Linked DNA regions of Drosophila melanogaster. The protein of the gene in region 1 interacts with the protein of each later gene in a pairwise test. Each region holds a gene or a part of one and is shown in the gene's direction. Other genes may lie near its edges.

The links.
Region 2: the proteins of Pex14 (region 1) and Ote interact in a two-hybrid assay, tested with the Drosophila melanogaster proteins (one large-scale study listed by BioGRID).
Region 3: the proteins of Pex14 (region 1) and CG15449 interact in a two-hybrid assay, tested with the Drosophila melanogaster proteins (one large-scale study listed by BioGRID).

What each region holds. Positions count from the first base shown.
Region 1 is NT_037436.4:20,774,993-20,783,561, forward strand, and holds Pex14 (peroxin 14), read left to right. Parts: upstream 1-3,806; 5' UTR 3,807-3,940; coding exon 3,941-4,051; intron 4,052-4,110; coding exon 4,111-4,413; intron 4,414-4,685; coding exon 4,686-5,114; 3' UTR 5,115-5,386; downstream 5,387-8,569. Other genes in the region: pitslre, read left to right, coding at 1-1,061, 1,182-1,715; Pex16 (peroxin 16), read right to left, coding at 2,077-2,990, 3,051-3,162; Pcif1 (phosphorylated CTD-interacting factor 1), read right to left, coding at 6,666-7,338, 7,399-7,527, 7,593-7,718, 7,781-8,569.
Region 2 is NT_033778.4:18,272,773-18,278,968, reverse strand, and holds Ote (otefin), read left to right. Parts: upstream 1-1,791; 5' UTR 1,792-1,889; coding exon 1,890-3,164; 3' UTR 3,165-3,362; downstream 3,363-6,196. Other genes in the region: pen-2 (presenilin enhancer), read right to left, coding at 900-1,039, 1,114-1,218, 1,288-1,348. UniProt on the Drosophila melanogaster protein: Inner nuclear membrane protein. Involved in the attachment of membrane vesicles to chromatin during nuclear assembly, and is probably required for centrosome maturation and cell cycle progression during mitosis.
Region 3 is NC_004354.4:21,036,680-21,042,386, reverse strand, and holds CG15449 (uncharacterized protein), read left to right. Parts: upstream 1-1,781; 5' UTR 1,782-1,948; coding exon 1,949-2,002; exon of another isoform or gene 2,003-2,227; coding exon 2,228-2,351; exon of another isoform or gene 2,352-2,372; intron 2,373-2,440; exon of another isoform or gene 2,441-2,453; coding exon 2,454-2,671; 3' UTR 2,672-2,873; downstream 2,874-5,707. Other genes in the region: Ntf-2 (nuclear transport factor-2), read right to left, coding at 3,528-3,641.

The sequences.
Region 1 (8,569 bases):
AATCCAAGTCTCAATTGGAAGACGATGACGAGGATTTACCCTTACCCGACAGTCCACTTAGCGTGGGTGAGCTATACAAGTCGCCCAAGCAACGTCAGCGATCTCGCTCTGTAAGCTCCAAGAGCAGCTCCCAGTCCAGTCGAAGCAGTCGGTCCAGATCCCGTTCTAGAAGTCAAAGCAGCCTAGAGGATGAGGTAGATCGTCAAGACGTGGGGGCAGATGCCTCACCCAGCAGCAGCACACGCAGCGAGGAACGTGGAATGACCCAAGAGCAGCCGGAAGAGAAGCCCGAGGAGAAACTCAAAGAGAAACAGAAGTCTCTGGAGGAGCAAATTCCGTGCGATGACAAGGGCATTCCCCTGCCCAACTATTATCCCGGTGTGCAGGGCTGCCGGTCTGTGGAGGAATTCCAGTGTCTAAACCGCATCGAAGAGGGAACCTATGGAGTGGTATATCGAGCCAAGGACAAAAGAACCAATGAGATTGTGGCTCTTAAGCGTCTGAAAATGGAGAAGGAAAAGGAGGGATTTCCGATAACATCACTCAGGGAGATCAACACTCTTCTCAAGGGTCAGCACCCGAATATTGTGACCGTTCGCGAGATCGTGGTCGGATCCAACATGGATAAGATATTTATTGTGATGGACTATGTAGAACACGACCTGAAATCCCTGATGGAAACGATGAAAAATCGTAAGCAGAGCTTTTTCCCCGGAGAAGTCAAATGTCTGACGCAGCAGCTTCTGCGGGCGGTGGCCCACCTCCATGACAATTGGATATTGCATCGTGACCTGAAGACCTCCAATCTCCTCTTGTCCCACAAGGGCATTCTCAAGGTGGGTGATTTCGGATTGGCAAGGGAGTATGGATCGCCGATCAAGAAGTATACCTCACTTGTTGTCACTCTCTGGTATCGTGCACCCGAGCTCCTTCTCTGCTCGCCGGTTTACTCCACGCCCATAGACGTCTGGTCGGTAGGCTGCATTTTCGCCGAATTCTTGCAGATGCTGCCGCTCTTTCCGGGAAAATCTGAAATCGATGAGCTTAACAGGATCTTTAAGGTAAGCTGTGGTTGAGCATTAAAGTTTAGTTATTAAAATAAGCTTGTTGAACAATTGTTAGTATTAACTTTGAAATTCATTTGCCGAGAATGCTTATTGACTTTTGATTTATTGTTCTAGGAATTGGGAACTCCGAACGAGAAGATCTGGCCAGGATACACCGAGCTCCCAGCCGTGAAGAACATGTTGTCGCAGAACTCTCAGTTTACCGAGTATCCCGTCTCGCAACTGCGCAAGCACTTCCAGGAGAAGACCTCTGAAATGGGCTTGTCGCTGCTGCAGGGTCTGCTGACGTACGATCCGAAACAAAGACTGAGCGCCGACGCGGCACTAAAGCACGGCTTCTTCAAGGAGCTGCCATTGCCCATCGATCCATCCATGTTTCCCACCTGGCCGGCCAAGAGCGAGTTGGGAGCCCGCAAGGCGCAAGCCTCTTCCCCCAAACCGCCATCCGGTGGCTCGCAGTTCAAGCAACTAGGCCGCGACGAGCCCATCATCGTGGGACCGGGAAACAAGCTCTCATCTGGGATTATCACTGGCAACAAGAAGAGCCACGGAGCTGGTGGATCGTCGGCTAGCACGGGATTTGTCCTGAACGCTGGAATAACGCAGCGCCAGTTGGCCATGGGACCGGGATTCAGTCTGAAGTTCTGATTCTGTGTGTTTTAGCCCATTACGATTACGATTAATTGTTATGTATAGTTAGCGATGTAAGTGGAAAATTTCGTTTAATTGTATGTGTATAAATATTGTTCCATATATAATTTAAAAAGCCATACAAAGCAATTGGGATGTATAATCATTTTTCACCTCAAGAGCGGCAATGCCATGTGGGTGGGTCAATTCAAGGAATATGAAAGTTGGCTATAAACATATCGAAAATTACTCCATCGTTTTATTGTGCAAACAACTTTTCAAGGACCAAAACTCAACCCACCCTCAACACTCCGAATGCGTCCACACCTGTAACTTTAAAACTTAGCCTAGGGGAATACTAACGCTCTACCTGAAATGCCTAAGTGGACCACAGATAGAAGTAAGTGCTTTGCCACGTGGGAATGTAATCTTTAAGGGGTTTGGCAACCACCTTAGCAATGGGCACACTTGTGGCCACAAAGTCGAGGATCCGCTCCAGTCTGGATTTGGTGAAGCTGTCATAGAACGGCGATCGGACCAGGAAGTACATGATGTTTATGCATCGCCTGCTCAGCTCCAGTTTTTGTTGCTTGGACATTAGGTCGCGATGCTGGCGGTAGAGGTGAATGCTATACAAATCAATGGATAATGCTACCATATATTGCTTCCAACTTCTCCGGCCGAACAGCCCCATGGCGACCAGGTGGATTAGTGGCTTCGATATATACAGGTATTCTGCTTGCAGGAGTTTCCTCGGAATTTGCGTCTTCGCCGCTTCATTGTTGTCTATATGAAGCTTGAAGTCGCGGTATTGCAGGGGAGGAGCACCCTCCACTTTACGAATCACACGGCCAGATCGCTTCAATTGGAAGGTAATGGAGTGCTGGGACTGCAATAAATCGTTCGTGGAGGAGGCCACACCATCCCCCGAATTCTTCCTCTGTTTGGCCCTTCGATTCAGTGCGGCGATGGGCGGTGAGGTGATTATATCCGAGGTTGAGTGTTTCAAGATAAAGAAACGGCCCGCTGCCTTGAAGGCCTGTATTAGCGCTATCACCAGCCACTTGCCGGATTGACCGAAAAGCCGACGGGCTGATATCTCGATGAAAACCTCGCTATATTCGAGCGTCGTCAACGTGACCTTTAGACGGTAGCAAAGTTTCGATTGCAGGTGGATCACCGAATTCTCCTCGGAATTGCGTGCCTTTTCGATGATCCGGTCGTTGTAGAACACCAGCATGTTTGACAGTGTATATACCAGCTCACTGACCACATTTGATGAGGAAATGCGACCTGGAAGCCGGCCAATGAGATGAGTCTGTAGGCTCTATGTAAGCAAGGAGTTCACTTTACCTGCTATAAAGTAGGATACCCACTTGGCTGTGGTCTCAAAATCCCCCACCACGTCGGGGTTTTTGCCCACCCACGCCTCGTACGCCTTCAGCATGCCCTTCAGAGTGTCCATTATATCCGGAAAATATTGTCTGTTCCTCCAAATAATAAAAATAATGAGGTGTTTCGGTCTACAGGTAATCAAATCGGTGCAGTTGTGGTGTTCTGGCGTTTTGAACAAGGCGTTAGTGCTTTCATGCAACACAAAATAGAAGGTGACGCAAAATGAATACATATATGAATGCAAGCACGGAGAGCGTTGATTAAACGCTTTGGATTAATAAAATTGGTACAAAAATAAATACCAAATACCAGTGTCACGAGCTTATCGCCATTACACTTTCAAATTTTACCACATTGGTGCTTACACGTCATAGAAAAAGAAACTAATAATTAAGGACCCACAATTTGTAAGAACCACATTTGGCATATCTGCCACCAACCTTTCATAGCCCCTTTTAATGTTCTTCAATGTAAAGATTTGCTTGTTTAGTCTCGGCATCTTAATTCAAGTTTCCTGATTCTTTATACTGCAGTATATTTTTATTGGGTATATTATGCATTTAAAATTTTAGCCCAGGTACTATGTTCTTTATAATAGAAACATTTCTTACCAAATTTTTCGGTAAAAACATTTTTCCAAGTTCAAATCTTTATTACGTTACAAATTACCTTAACGTTATACATAATAACCCTAGAAACGCTAATGCATTAGTAATTTCGAGAGCAGCAAAGTCTTTGGTCACACTTTTGTTTTTGTGCACTTTGTAATCGAATTGCTCGTGAATTCGGATTCACTCCGTTTTCGTGTGTATTAGCTAGGCAAGATTGAATTAAGAGTCGATATACAGATGTCCAGCAACAACACGGACACTGGGGACACCACCGTCATGGCGACGGCTACCTCGGTGCAGAACGATGTCGAGGCCGGCGTAGATGAGCAATTGCCTCGAGAATCGCTGGTAATATTTGTTCAACCCCTTCAAGTTTGCCTAATCTATAATCCGACTATTCGCCGCAGATAACCACTGCAGTCAGTTTTCTACAAAACACCAAGGTGCGCCACACGACACTTATCCAGAAGCAGCAGTTCCTACGGTCCAAAGGTCTCACCGCTCACGAAATTCAGCTGGCCTGTGAACGGGCCGGCGTTTTCACCCAAGACCCCAACAAGCCCAATCCGAATCCGAACACCGTCATTAGCATTGGATCCCAATTGCACGCGCTGCAGCCGCAGCCGACTGTCTTGGGCCGGATCAGGGAAATCATCCATTCGGCAGCCCTGTTCAGCGGAGTCGTCTACGCAGTCTACATCTTCTGGAAGGTGAGATGCAGTGGGATCTCTATTTCGGGGTCTTTTAAAAAGATTTATTATATTTACTCCACCAACTCGAGTGCGAATTTAAAGATCGCCATCTTGTCTAAGGCTTAGATACATTACACATATATTTGATGACACTTTTACCAGACGACGTTGAATTTACTTAGTATTTAACACATTTTGTAAAAGTGTTAGGACGCATAAATAAGTTTTAAGTGGTCCACCAGTCCAAAGTCCATGATTGCTAATAACTTCTAAAACCCGTATAATTTCAGCAATACATTGCGCCCTACCTGTTCGGCAAGTCCAAGAAGAAGGCGGTCGATGAAGTCCTGGACGACATAGACAAGAAGGTAGAGACCCGCACCAACGACCTCAACAAGGAGATTTTGGCGGTCAGGGATCTGATCACCACACAGCAAAGGGAACACGCCCAGCAGCTGAACCGCGAATTTAGTAACTTCCGTAGCGATCTGGATGCCATTAAGGGCCTGCTTTTGAACCGAAAACAGTTCGCCGGCCCTGTGGCTCCGATCGCAGTGCCATCCATTCCCGCCTGGCAATTGGCCGGCTCACCGCATCACCATCACCGGCACAGCGGGTCGGACGACAACGAGAAGGGCGATGATGCTGGATCCGGGTCTGGCTCGTCGGAGACAGAGGTGGTCACCAAGAATAGTGACTCCAGCTTGGAGATCATGTAATGCAATCAGAATACGAGGCTGGCTATATAGACGTAGTATATAGTTACGCTGTAAATTGAGTTTCCCCGTTAAATGCCTTCAAGACTTTTGGTTTTTTTTCTTTGCGTTTATAGCATTTAAGGTTTCTTTATAGTCAACAGCTAATCCATATCCAAAAGTACATACACACACTCACATATACACACTTATGCGATACGATGTCTATACAATGTAATAATAAAAAGTTTACATAATAACAGGTTTGAATTGAAAGAAACTGTTTAATTAAGCGCAAAAATGCTTTGTGTAGTTTTTTGTTTATCGGTACATACGGGGTGGGGATAGCATATCGGTTTAGACAATAAATTTCGACTTAGACGATAATTGGATTCTAAAAATTTTGCCGAGTGCTACTTTCTATAAATTGGCTAAATTCCCTTAGGTTTGATTTAAGATTATGCCGGGCGGAGCACCTCGAGGTTTTGCCTACAAGCTCCTTGAAGACTCCACCCAGATCCTTAACGGATTTAAATTATTTATTTATTGTGCGGTGCCTAGTTATGGTTTTGTTTCAATTACAAATTTGGTTCTCTGCGCATTCCCTTCATTAAATTTCCTTCACTACTTACGTTAGTTATCGATTTGTACATACGATAATTTAGTATTCAAATAATTGTTTGCCATTTTCGTAAAAGTTAATGTATTCTAGTAAGTTAATATTCTCACAAACGATTGTTAAGGGCTTCACAGTTCACATGAATGTGTTCTTTATTTCTCACTTCGTTTTGTGAATGGACAAACCATTGCGAAATACCCTGAAACAAGGATAGAGAACAGTACCCCTACCCATACTATGTATGCATTATTAGAGTCTTTTGTTGGGTAGCTTGGCCCTTGTTTGTTGGGTACAATCGTATAAGATAAACAGCGGCCAGGCCGGCATTTTTATCAGCTATTTCAAATTAAATATAACATATTTACAATTAATTATACCTTGCGATGGGGGCAATACCAGCTGCCAAAGGCCGAGCACTGTGTACGTTTGAAAATTAAAGCTTTGACAAGAAGTACAAAAATGTGTACGTTTGAAAATTAAAGCTTTGACAAGAAGTACAAAAATGTGTAACAAAATATTTAGTGTTTTAAAGCCTGTTGTTTGACCCAAACGTAATTTACCATTCGGACAGGCATCATTTGATTAACACCGAGCGATGTGTAACGTTACAAATTAAGTTTTTAAAATAAGAAATTACAAAATATTGCGTAATATGTATATGCGTTTTCCTGGTTCCAACGATACATTTTGAAAACGGAATTGGATAGTTGTACTTTTTCGGAAAAACAGAAGTTGCCATCCCTTTGGCTTCCGCGTTTGTTTAAATTAAAGCGATTATCATCCGATTACACAAAACTAAACCTCAGAACTGGGAGCATGGCCGCTAGTGTGGCTTCAGGCCCAATTGGTTTTTTCTTCCTCAAATGTAACCCTAATTTATGCTAACAGAAAGTGCACAGATAGTATGGACAAAATAGAACCATGTGTGGATAGCAAGATCCCAAAAAGAATCAAATCTAGACGGCTGAGTTGATGACCGCTTGCGTGGATGCGGAACTACTGATGCTATTGGCCTGGCCAAATGCAGATCCCGCTCCAGCAGCCGATGTGGTAGTCGTTGCCGTAATGCTCACCGCTGCCGCTGTGGCAGATGTCACTCCATCCGGATAGCCGCCCGAAGCAGGAGCCGGTGAAAGAGACATCGTCGACGAGGAGGGCGAAGAGCAATCGCTTTGCACACTCATTGTGGGCGAGGCGGCCACCAAATTGCTGCTACTGCTGGTGTTGCTGATGGTCATCGGAAACTGTGGCGGCGGATTCCCGGTGGGCGTGTGCGGGGACAGTGGCGACATTGAGGACGATGTTGTGGTCAGCGACGGGCTGCTGCTTGTGCTCGTTGTAGTGGCTGTGGATGAGCTGTTGCTATTGACTCCACTGATCGTACAGGAGTTGGTTGTTGGAGCCGTGGATGCGGCGGATGGGGGCGTCGATGGCGATTGCTGGCTGGAGGTTACCCCAGCTGCTGCCGCCGCAGCTGCAGCCCGCTCACGCTCCCGATCTCGTTGTGGCCTGAAGGCCTCACGCAGTGCCTCCACGCGAATTTCATTGGGTCCCCATCGCGCGTATCCGGCGCTATTTTGCAACCACACCACCTGTGTGCCCTGCATGCACTTGATCAGCACATCAGACCTGGAAATTAACGGAGTTAAATAAGTATGAATGGGAAAAGCATAAGTTTAACTAACTTACTTTTGCAACATGTGCTGATAGCCGTGTCTGTACTCGTGGGCCATGCCCAATACCACCATTGAACGGCGCTTGTACATGCTGTCGTCCAGCTTGGATATGCTCTTCCACTCCGGCAGAAACACAATAAAGCTGAGTAAAACAAGAACAAATTGTATTATACTCATAAGCAACATCAAACCGATGTTTAATCTCACCTCAGAGGCTCCATGGTGTCCGTGAGCAGTTTGTCGATGTGCAGCAAAGAAGCCTCAATCAGCTCCTCGCAATGAGGAGGGTTTACTTGGAAGGAACCGGAAACGGGCTTGAAGTCGAGGAAGGGCCTGTAAAGGTCACACATTTCACTTAGATTCAGCTTATTAAAATTCACTATTTGGCTACATACCCCCTGGAACCGAAGTAGGCATCCGTGTCGGCAAACGCAGAGCAGTACTGTCGGAAATAGGAATTGAATGGCGAGGCGAAGCACTCGAAGCTTACACCAAACTGCCTATGTAGGCACTCGAACACTGGCACTGGCAAGGCAGCCTGGGTAAGCTCCGCCTCCTGGGAGGAATTCAGGGCATTGCCCAGGAAGGTCTGGTACCTCTTGAGCAGACACCATACCCGGCCAATGAACAGATCGAACTTCTTGTCGTCGAAACAGTTGTGGCGGTACAGCTGTTCCAGCTTCTGTAGATAGGTAAGGTTGATGTACTGAGCATCTGGCTGGTTGATCGTGGCGGGCGTGTACTTGATGATCATGTGGTCGCGATCCTGTAAGTACTCGATCGTCGGCATCCGAGGCGATGGGACGGCAAACTGTATGGGATAGCACCACACTTTCTTTAGATGTGGCGGCGGCGGAGGAGGCGTGGGTTCCGGTATTCCGTGCTCCTTGAGCAGCTGCGAATGGCGCTCACGGATCTTGCGGGCATGATCAGCCGACAAGTGATAGATTTTCACGCACAAGGTTTCCACAGAACTCTTGACGGTCTCAACCAAATGTGGCTCACATTGCCGTTTAAGATGGGCCAAACGGTCCTGAAAATCCTCGTAGCTCGCGCCCACGGTACGCCTCAGCCATTGAAATGTGTCCTCCACATTCCACTTGACGACCTTCTTGGATTCCGCCGGCGCGGATCGGGATTCTATTATCTGCTTAGCGGCCTCTGCGTAGCGGGAAAGCTGCTTC
Region 2 (6,196 bases), on another chromosome or scaffold:
AAAACTGAATGAGAAAGCTCCCATCTGGCCCTCAAAAATCCCGCTTCCTATCCCAAATACACATTGATTCTTTAGAATTTATAAATAAAACAAGTATTGATTGTAAATATACCTTAAAGCGAGTCTTTTGTATTGTAAATTAGTTCCACTGATTGATTTGGTGGCCCTGCTTAGGTGCTTTGCCACCAAGTTCGTGTTATAAACATTAATACATAATATTGTAATTTACTATATGTGTTGGCAGCATTTGCTGTTAACCGCAAACGAAATGCAAGCGATTTACCGAATAATAGCAATTTGAATTATGTCTTCATGTGTAGATCGGCGAGTGTTTTCCTTACACTCATTTAGGAGTCGCTAGGTTTTTTGACATTCTTAATGCAATTTGTAATCAAATCGTAGGAGGCATTCGACTCACGGATACAAACACACAACATAACAAAACAATTAAATGGGATTTAACAAATTACCATAATGGCTTATGCAACGGTACAAGCAGAGTTTTATACAAATTATGTATTTTAGAGATGGATAAAGCGCATTGAATTGAATTCGAAACAATGAAATTGTATCTAAGCAAAGAATGTAATCCACAAAATGGCTAACTAAAGCTAAATCAAGCATTCAAATATGGGCGGACGAATATGAACAAAACACATAACTAGCGGCTAAGAAATTTCAACAAAATATAGTACACATATTTAAAGTATACAGAAAATTATAAAAAACAAAAACAGCTTTAGATGTGAATAAAAAATATGTAATTAAATCAAAACAGCACTTCTTTTGTTTGGGTCATATACGGGAACTTCTGATGGATTAATAATAAACGTTAATTTTGTTTAGGAATGAAGTCTTTTTTAATATCATTAGTTGCTAACGAATTAATCTAGTTATGTCTATGCACTGCCTAGGGGTATGATGAAGCTCATATAGTCCGCTGTGGCGCCCCAGGCTGTGCGATTTGTCTGGAATATTATTATCCAGGCAGTTAGTACTATCAGCCAGAATAGAGTCCCCACTGCAGAGTATATAACATCTGGAGGAAGGTAGGAAAGAAATTGTGGAATATTAGACTGTATGGCATGGGCATCTATTCATATATTGACTTACATCTCTTTATTTGGCTCTGCTCCGAAAATGGTGGCTTATGGAAGGCCTCCGTGAAAAACCAGCAAACGTTAATGGCCCACACAAAGGGCAGAAATGCAAAGCCAGCTAAGTTCGAGACAAATAGAAAGTAACTTGGTTAAAATCCAATCATTACTCATTGGTAGTAACTCTTACCAAAGAAGTATTTGCGACACAGCTCCAGTTTTCGCGGATTTGGTGCCTTTGAGATGTCCATGATTAATCCTCTTCAAATATGTGGGTGTTTGCTCCTTTGTTTTCGAATCTGTTTCCGGCCCAGGAAAGTTTTTTCGTACTTATATGTAAATTGTATGTAATATGTAAATTGTAATAGCTTATATTTTCACTTCAATTTTTGCTTTTGTTGATTTGTGTTTTAGTTTTTAGTCCATTGGAGCGCAATCGATATCGATAAGTTATCGAAACAGAGGTGAGCTAAACTGCGACTCTTGGATCACTGTTTCATTTGCCAATATCTAACGTAAATAACGATATAATAATATAGCATAGATGTTTTATTACGTTTGCACGATTTTGCGATGTGTGCGATGATTAGTATGAAACATCATTCCTTGTGTTCCCTTTTTTTAAAACGCCAAAACTGTTACAAGTCAAGCCCACTTCAGTGTTGTATATCCCCTAAAACAGAATCATCGATAGGTAATACTGCTGCCATCACTATTTTAGCACACACCGCGTAAAAGCGACGCCGATTTCAATTTTCAACGAATTATTAAAAGTGTGCGAAAAACCATACAATGGCCGATGTGGACGATTTTGATTCTCTGTCCAATGCTGAGTTGCGCGCCAAGATGCTGGCACAGGGGCTGCCCAACATCCCCGTGACGGATAGCAGCCGGAAGGTTCTAGTAAAGCGTCTGCGCGCCTCCATTGGTGGCCAGGCGTCGCCGGCCGCTAGTCCCAAGAAGACCAACAGGCGGGAGACCCTGGCTCCCGCACCTGGTGCACCATCTGCTCCGGCGGCAGCCTCCACGCCGGTGGACAAGCTGGATGGCAACAAGGTGGCGCCCGCCACAAAGGCTCGGCGCACAATTACCGCTGCAGAGGCCAAGGAACCAGTGCGTCGATTACCCGAGGAAGCTATACGCCGACGCCCCGACGAAGCCGACCGCCTACGATCCGAGGAGCCCGTTGCCGCCAGGAAGCCAACAACTGCTCCTGCTGCTCAACCCGTACAGACCCGGCGCACTTCCACCTCCTCGGGGTCTGAAAGGAAAGTAGTGGAGCCCTTGAGGAAGCCAGAAACCATTGTTGAGCAACCGGCTTCCTCGAAGCGCGCTGATCGAGAGGAGAATTATCTTAAGGTCAACTCCCTGATTGTCCTAGAGTCCGATGAAGAAGAGGACGAGCAGCTAGTCCAGGCTGCAGATCTGGTGGAGCAGGAGCACGCGGCCAGACAGAAGACCACGAAGCTCGCAAGCAGCGGCACCACTACGTACGAGTACAAAAGCAAGGTTGTGGAGCCTCCACGCCGACAGGTCTATGAAGCGACAGCAGCTCCCGTGCTGCCGCCATCTGTGCCATCTGCCAGAGCGCAGACCACCAGTTCCACCAGGTCCTATGACTATGCGAGCAACCCAGCACCCGGTCGCTATAGCAGTTTTGTGCGTACTGCAGCCCAAGGCTATGTGACTGCAGAGGCTCCGCCGGTGGCCTCCTACTCATCCAGCTACAAGCGTACCTATGCTAACGAGCTGAGCGACGACACTGATTCCAAGGAAGACCAGTACGAAAGCACATTTGCCAGGAATCTAGCTCGTTTGCGAGCCGAACGGATTGGAGATCGCATCAGCCCGTATTCCAGACGCACTCTGGCCAGTGGAAACGCGGGTAGCGGTTCTCTCGGCTATGAGCCGCGTGCCAGGCGCTCCTTGCGCCCGAATGATAACAGCGTATCCGAGGCCTTTAACCGTTGGTTGAACAGCCTGGAGCAGAAGTATCACATCAAGTCGAAGCTGTTCATTGTACTCCTCGTCCTTTTGTTAATCGGCGTTTATTACATATTCTACTGACCGGCGCATCATTGTTCTTATTTCGAATTTGTAATCTAGTTTGTATACCATGTTGGATATGTTTTGTAAACAAGACTGCCGCCGCGGTCTTTGTATGAATCTTGTTTTGATGTAACTTGAGCTTGAGTTTGACTAGCATTTAAGCTGCGTGTTATCCGTGTTCAAATAAAGCCCACTTGCAGGGAATCTCCACAGTTGAACACTTGCTCTGATGTTTTTTCTCCAAACGGCTTTCGATTCACTGCGCTCCACTTGTGGCAGGTGTTTGCCCAGATTGGATCAAGAAACAGCAGCAAACGACGATCGGCTAATGATGGAAAAGTATCTGGAATGCGTGTACAACACTTGTCGGCATGACTCTGACCAAATGTAGGCGCAATGGCAACCAGGCAAGCGCAGCTCTTATCTGAGCTAAATTGTTCCTGCTGCGATCTGATCTGCGATCCTTGCAATGCCTTGCAATCAGAATTAATAAGAATTTTACAAGTCGGCTCGGCGGCCGGTGTGCGTTATTTTAAAATCCTTGCCCGAGTTGGGCTGTTTAATTTTATTAACTGGAAATCGCACTTGCGCGTATTTCTTTATTTTCTTAAGGAAATTTCGCGCCATATTTAGCGGTAACAAGCGCGACCGGATCCGGGTCTGACTTGCATGCCAGCAATAAGTTATGAAAATTGCAACATCAGTGGCTCGGGGGAAATGCCAGTTGTGCTGGGGATGTTGCTGCCACGGCTGCCACGGCCGCCACGACCGCCAGTCGCCGCCGATGATGAATTCCACAAATGCATGGAACAGCCAGGCGGCAGATTCCTTGAAAAACAAAGCCATGGCCCATACAATATATCGTGTGGCTAATAAATACGCCGCGCATTGCTAGTTGCTCTTAATGAAATTAACTTCCAGGAATTACCTACATGGCAGCAACGATGCAGACGACAACCACGATCACTTTGACGACTGTCCCGAAGTGCAACAAAGCAACTGCAACAGTCGCAGCAACAGTCGCAGCAATTCGAAAAGGCAACAATGGCTGCTTAGGCAAATGCAACAAGCCATCGGCCATGGAAATTAAATGGAAGCCTGCAAAAAGTTTCACGCACTCGACACGTTAATAGAGTCGTAGCACCCAGAGCAACATCAGGTCCACCAGCTGCAGCAGCAGCAGCAGCAAAACCACCAGCACCAACACCCAACACCAGAACCCCGCAGGAACATCAGCGCCCAAGAGCAACACACCCGCGTCCCAGCAGCTTCCCATCTTCGGTTGCCGCCGCTCAAGTGTGACATTCATGGAATATGATTTTATGGCCAAAACCGAAACTTTTGTCTGCATCACGTTCGCGGCTGGAGGGAAAACAAGGAGTGGGCTAGTAAAACAGCCGGATGGTGGACTATGAAGGTGGCGGTGGTGACTCGACTGCCTGGCTGCTGGGCCAATGACTTCCTCGTTGTGAGCCAATTAAAGACGCTGGTCGTTGTGGTCGCTGCTGAAATCATTTGTAATGCAACGTTTGGAATAATTCACGCGCAAATTGCTTGCGACTCGCGAAAAATATTGCAACATTCCACTGCAAATTTTACGATTATGCGTTTGCACCACAACACAAACTGTTGCTGCTGCTGTTGGTCGCTAGTTGCTGTTGCTGCTGCTAGTTGCTGCTGCTGTTGCTAGTTGCTGTTGCAGCAACACATTCGCTCGTAGGCGCTCACATCACATCAAATCAAATGTAAGCGGTGCCGGGCATTCAACGCTGTCAGTTGCCAGTGCTCCAGATAGATAAATCAGTCGGCTAATTGTTCCAACCTGGCCGGTCTCCAAACTCAGCGCCTGGGAGCGTGAACTCTGCTCGGAAGGATGTGGGTACATTTCTTAGATGGGTTCTAAATTTCTAGAATTTGAATTCCTAATCGAATCATGTTTGCCTCTACACATAATTAATCGTAAGGGATGACATTTTTATGCAAAGACCCAGAGATCAAAGTTGAACATCGAAACATCGCATATGTGGAGAGATTGGACATTTTAATTCCATAAATAATGACAGTATGTCTCTAAACAGACAGTCAGTGTCTGCCCACTCTATAAGGCCGAAAGAAATCATTTATTTATTTATTTTTCAAACACGGTATGTTGGATATTACTGGGCATATTGGTTTTTGGAGATTTTTGATTTCCAGATGGGAAACGTAAGTATGAGGTATACATTTTTAAACTTATTTGAAGAAAAGTTGGTAAGATTTTGAAGGTTTTGCTGAAACACAAAACAAATTTAATTCATTCCCTTGAAGTTCGGGAGTAATATAATGATATACTTTCAGCCTGTATTGAATAATCCAAATCCAATTGTTAGGTATCAAGTGTCTCGAGTTGTTTGGAACTAAAGTTCTGACTGGCTCCATGTCCGATCATCTCTGTGGCGGCGGCAGTGTCTTTTGGGCTGACTACTCGTTGTCAAGTTGTGGACCACAGCGACCAATCAGTGTCAGCTGGAAGTGGCTTTTTTAGTGGCCCAAAGTGATGAGCTAATCAACCTGACCTGACCAGTCCAGTCCCACAGTTGCGGCCAGATCGGTGTGGTGTGCCTATTTTAATAACATTATTTATGTATCTTGCTTGTATTTCGGTTTATTTTCGTATGTTTTGTGTATTGTTTTGTTTGATTTAACAGGAATTGGAATTAGAAATAGAAATGAGGCGAAACAAAGTGGGCAACGAGCTGGGGTTTCCTCCATTTTGTTTGTTTTTTAGGTGTCAATCGCATTAGACGGAAATCAGTTTTGTTTTTTATTGTACAAATTTATCGCATTTCGAGGCTCATTTGGATTTGGTTACCATTTTCAGTGCCAAAGACTGTGCTGTCTCCCTGCTGCCCGGCTGCTCGGTTTTTATGGAAAATTAAACATTTTAAACTGGCCACGAGATAATTTGTGGTATATGCGATATCTGGTGGGTTGGCGGAGGACAGTGTGTGTTTGTGTGTGGTCTCCGTGAGTCGAGCAGGCATCAAATAAATTATAAACCCATTTAAATT
Region 3 (5,707 bases), on another chromosome or scaffold:
GTTTCGGGTTTTATGATTGATTATATAGATTAGGTAGTTCGGAAAATGTTTTCTTCTATTTAATTTGAATTTATCAACATGCTGAATAATTTTTCTTGTATTCTCTTACAATGCATTATTTTCGGAGTTCTATATTTCAGTGAAAGTTGTACCTGAAAAATTCTTAGTCTTGTAACCATGTAGCTCGGTGGGGTATCATTTTCGATCATAGTTCGCAACTAGTATAACTAGTTTTGCTGTCACTGTAAAGTGCTGGCGATTAACTTTTAATAGAACTACAATAGCATGGGAATTGCTGCTAATTACCGTAAAATTGCTGAAACAAAAAGCTTGCCAAAGCTCAATTGGATTTCGTTCTGGTAGTAAGGTCTTGAAAAATGCATTTTCAAAATTGAAACAGAAAATACGGATTAATCAAAACATTGAAGCGATAAGAAGGTCTAAATATAGTTTCAATGCGCACCTGTGTCTGCGTTGAATCATATCAAAAGTTGCCTTCAAACTGATAAGCTGGGCTTTTGATAATAAATAATCGTATATGTACTTCTGCTTGCTACCAGCCGAAATTATTCTAAAAACATATATTTATTTTAATGGTTAGGTTTTGAAATTAATAAAGCAGTTGATGTTAAGTTAAGATAAATAGGTTCAACATGTGGCATAAACACTCTATAGAGAACTAATTTAAAAATTAAAAATAGATTTGTTCAGCTGTAACAACTTATTTTGCATGTTTTCAAATTGACCATAGAACACAGGAAGTGTTATTGTTTTAGTCAGGAACAAAGTATATATTACTTAGATATATATTTTTAGTCAGAATTGACACCCAACTAAATCTTACCGTGTCTGTTTATTTCCACGTAATCGTATTTACTTAAACTATTAAACCTATTGCAGGTATTAGATAAGGCAATAACAGGCCGGGTCGGAAATGTAATTACTAATCTAATTTTATATAAACTATATAATTTAGCTGAACTAGGAGCGAGCGGAATGGGATTTGCAGTTTAACGTTCGTAAAAAATACAGGAAAAATAAATAGAAATAAAATACATTTTATTAAAACAGGACGACTGTAGTCGTCCAAGCTAGTGGTAGCTAAGTTACTATAGGTGAAGGGTATATAAAATTCGGCTTACTTTTTATGTTGCTCTAAGCTTTTAATTGCACTTAAAAAGTACAGTACTTGTAATATATTAAAAAATATATTCCATGCATTACAAATCCACTTTTATATCTGAAAAGCGTTGCAACACAACCTTACAACCTAATAATTCCCATGAAGTCCATAAGATTATTCATGATTTGAGGAAGTGATTTCCCCGGCGATATGTTTTCCATTATCCACTTGATTACCATCGGAAAATTGGCGACCCGTTGGCCCCGATTCCGCGAATTAGCTCCGATCTTGGGCCCCGAAGGTTAGGCAGCAAATTTGGGGTAATGGCAATGCGAGCACAATGAGTCCGAGTCCATTGGGCGGCTGCCCACTGTCCACTGGCCACCCACCGGCACAGAGCATGCATGCAGATACAGACATTATGCTCCACTCAATCAAGCTGGAAGGGATGGGGCTCGAGTGCAGCTGGCAGCGGAGAACGCAGACGGTCTCCACTTCAGAGATGGAACCGAGAGGCCCGGCGGACGTGGTGGACGTGGGCGGATACACAGGGATGGGAACAAGAATGAAAAGCCTATTTCCTAAGTGTAATTAATTAATTTCGCTGGCTGGGCCCGACTGCGCCCAACTGCAAACTGCAGCCGCATTTGCCTGCCATCCGTCATCCATTTCCGAATCAGAATCAGTTTGTCCAGCGCTCTGCCGTCGCGAGCACGCTCCAAAGAGGCCAATCGGAAGAACTTTGGAACTTTCTTGAGTTGCGACACGTACATTTTCAAGCTGGACCACATTTTCGAGGACTGTCAGCGGCAGCAGTTTCACAAAATGTCTCATGGCGAGCGAAAAGGCCGCCTCAATGTGGTCAAGTTTCTCGAACTGGTAAAGGATTTTTTTTTCAAGTGATTTTACTGCAAGTTCTAAGGATTAATGAATTAATGCAAAAAGCAACGCGTATGCTTACTAAACAATGGTTTGTCAAAAAAAAAAAAAAAAAAAAAAAAAACGACTTGGGAATTAAAAGAAAAGACCCGAAATACCAGATAGACTCGGAAATTATAAGAACACCAAGAAGCACCACAAATGAAAATCCCCTCACTTTTCCAGGGTTTTGCGGTAGCGTGTCTGGTGCTCCACTTCTACAGCTTCAACGATCGCGATATAATGACTTCGTTCCTGGCCACTGGCACCTTCACGGGCTACATCATAGTGGTCATCGGGGTCTTTGCAGGTACGCCTTGGAATGCCAGTCCTTAAGAGTTAAAATACTAAAATAAGTTAACCAAAAACGAAATTTGCACACAAATCTACTTAAGATACCTTGCAATTGCAGGCGTTCTGATGCGGGCACCCATTCACAAGCGCATCGATATATTCTTCAGCGTCCTGGGCTGCACCTTGTTCGTGGCCAGCGGTGTGTTCATCATTGAGGCCTGGGAGTTCTCCTTCCGCACCCGAACTCGGGATCTCGCGCTCATCAAGGCCTCGCTGTCCATCGTCAATGGGGTGCTATTCGGATTCGATGCGGTGTTCACATTTCGCGACAAGTGAATCGTTCAGTTTTTAGACGGAAACCACTGGCCAGATCCGCTGGAGCTTCTTTCGTATGCATTTAATAGCTTATAAGGGTATACATATCTTTCCGGTTCAACTGGCCATTCCGCCAATCATACAAACAACCAAACTGTTAACGTTTATCTTTATATTTAAGTGTTTTTTTTTTCTCTCAATAAAAAGTAATTCGCCATCGCTCAATTAGTCATATGAGAAAGCAAGAGTCGATACTTGCGACTGTGTGTGGTGCAGTCCCGGTACTCAAGTAATTGTTTACAGAGCGAGACACTCGACACAATACATTTGCAATACGGCTATCTAAAATAATCCTCATAATTAAAGTACAAATAATTCAATTGGAAATATAAACGGTCTAGAAAATCACTCTAAACTTATGTAGGCGATGATCCCGGCCTGCTGTTCCTGCTCATTTCACGGGAATTCGAAATACGAGCTTGTAGCACGGCACATACCACCAAATTCGATAGTCCTAGCTAAATTAGATCGCGAGATCCAGGTGTTCGCAGAACATATAATTCTAGGGTTCCGTGGATCGTAAAGCGAGAGTACCGGCAACAATGGGACACAAATGAAGGTGAGCTGGCGGCCCATTTTGTTGACATCGTAATAGTAGTTAGCGTTATTTTCTTATTTTTTTATTGTTTTTTTTTTTTTTTTCTTTTTCTAACTTTTGTATTTGCTGATAATCGTGAGACCGCTGGCTGGCTTTGTTATATTTTTTTTTTCTGAGTTCCACTGCCGAGCTTGTTGTTATCATCTGGCGCTGGGCATCTTTGGATGTCGATTATGTGTGGTGCTGAGTGGTGTGCATACGTAGGTAAGTGGAGTGCTCCTAGGCAGAGTTGTGGATGTTGAGACGGAAGATGTCGTGGGCCACAAAGAAGGTGCCTGCGTTGGCCTTCAGGAAAAAGACCTGCGAGAAGGCATGTGGGGGATCGTCATCGCACTGCAAAGGAATGAAATCATAAATACGTTAGCAGATGCCAGGCAAACCAGTCACATTTAAAGTCAATAACACAAGCGTGCGAAAAACCAATTTCAACGTATTGAGTTAGATATGAATGGAGTACACACAGTTTGAAGCCAGGGTCAGAGGGAAAGGGTGTACAACTGGCAGCCGATTGATCGTGTAAGGTGCGTGTTTACTGTACAGGGCTCGCTCGATAAATTGAACATAACTCCAAAACATTTTCACGAGCAGAATAAACTTTATACCAAATGTGCGAGCAAAATTATTATTCACTGATATAAGAACTTCTCAAAACTTTCCTCAGTTCCATTCAAAATTGAACAACATTTGAAAGTTTTTTTTTTAAGGCATATTAGGGTGCGCTTAACAATTTGGGATATTTACAGTTCTCTTCTTCGAGCTATTGAACAAAACAATATGCAAGTTAAGACTAGTCAATTGGTATTTGGTTTTGTAACAAATGAAAAACAGAATTTTTATAAGTGCAATATCAATTGAAAGCATCTAAAAATATAATATAAATATAAACCGTTTAGTTAAAAATGTAAAGCAATAGAGGTTACAGAAATTGTTTGTGTTACATTAAAATTGCATTATTAGGAGGTTCCAGGTCCCCAGCGACCAACCGAAAGAAAGAGCAAATCCAACTCAAAATCAACGAAAACCATGCACGAAATGAAATGCGCAACATTTTGATTTGATTAATTTTCGTTGGACATTCACGTACTGTGAGAATAATTAGAAGAAATTGGACGACGACGAGACGCCAAGGATAAATATTTTTGTATATGTGGGCGGAGTGGGCATGGCTGGGCGGCATAAGGTCGACAAGCAGCAGAACTATCTTATCGCTTAGATATGGATTTCTTTCGTTTTTTAACTGGCTCTCGTCTCGTGTCTGCTGGCTGATCGTTTGGCTGCTGATCTCGATCTCGATTTACACACATATAGCCGGGCGCTGGAGTCTGTGGACTGGGCGTGGCAGGTCGGGCTCGCTGGTGCTACACATCGTGCAGCGAGAGTCGGAATATATCGTGCTGCACAAAGAAACTGCCGCCCACCGGCTTCAATACGAAGGTCTGAATATAGGCATGCGGCTGATCCTCGTCGGTCTGCATTGGTTTGTTTTGGCATTTGTGTTTCGTTTTGTAATAACCAGAATTGAGATATTCGATTCAGATTCAGGTGACTTATATGGAATAATAGATGCAGCGGCGGTCGGCAAATAGCACTGCCCTTACGACTTTACGGAAGAATGATGAATGATTTCATATCTTAAGTGATGGGCGATTGAAATTTGCTTCTACGTCTCTACATATATCCACTTTGAACAATAAGGTATCGTAAAATACATTGAGGCAGTTACTCTTTTTAAAATTCATTTCATTTATCTACCTACTATAACTGCATCAATAAGTCAATGGATATTATATTCAAAACAAGAGAGAATGCTATGGTCGACTTTTCCGACTGGAAGTGAGAACGCGAAATTTCATATTGAACAATATGAGTGGGCGTGGCAACATGGATCAACAAACTTGCGCTGCGTCGGTGTCTCTAGGATCGGTCTGCTTAATATCAACCTTCTAGCTTTTATAGTTCCTGAGATCTCGACGTTCATATGGAGAGGGCCAGATCGACTCGGCTATTGATCCTGATCAAGAATATATATACTACATTTTGTCGAAAACGATTGCTTCTACATGTTACATACTTTTTAACGAATATAGTATACTCTTTAACTGCACTAGTAACGGGTATAATGTATCTTAGAATGAAGAACACTTAATGGAATAAAGTGGCAGGCTTAATAAAGCCCATACATGATAACAAATAAATGGGAAACAGTGCAAAATAAATAATGTTCTTATGTGAAAGCCAAAACAAAACGTTCTATTTGTTACAAAAACGATTGTCAAGCATTTACGTGTTGAAAAGACCAAAAATAAAATTCAAAACTTGAAAAGAAAATCGATTGAATTGGTCGGCAGTGCTAATATTCTAACCGCCGCCGCAGGCAGTCATTGAATTTCCCCCCGACA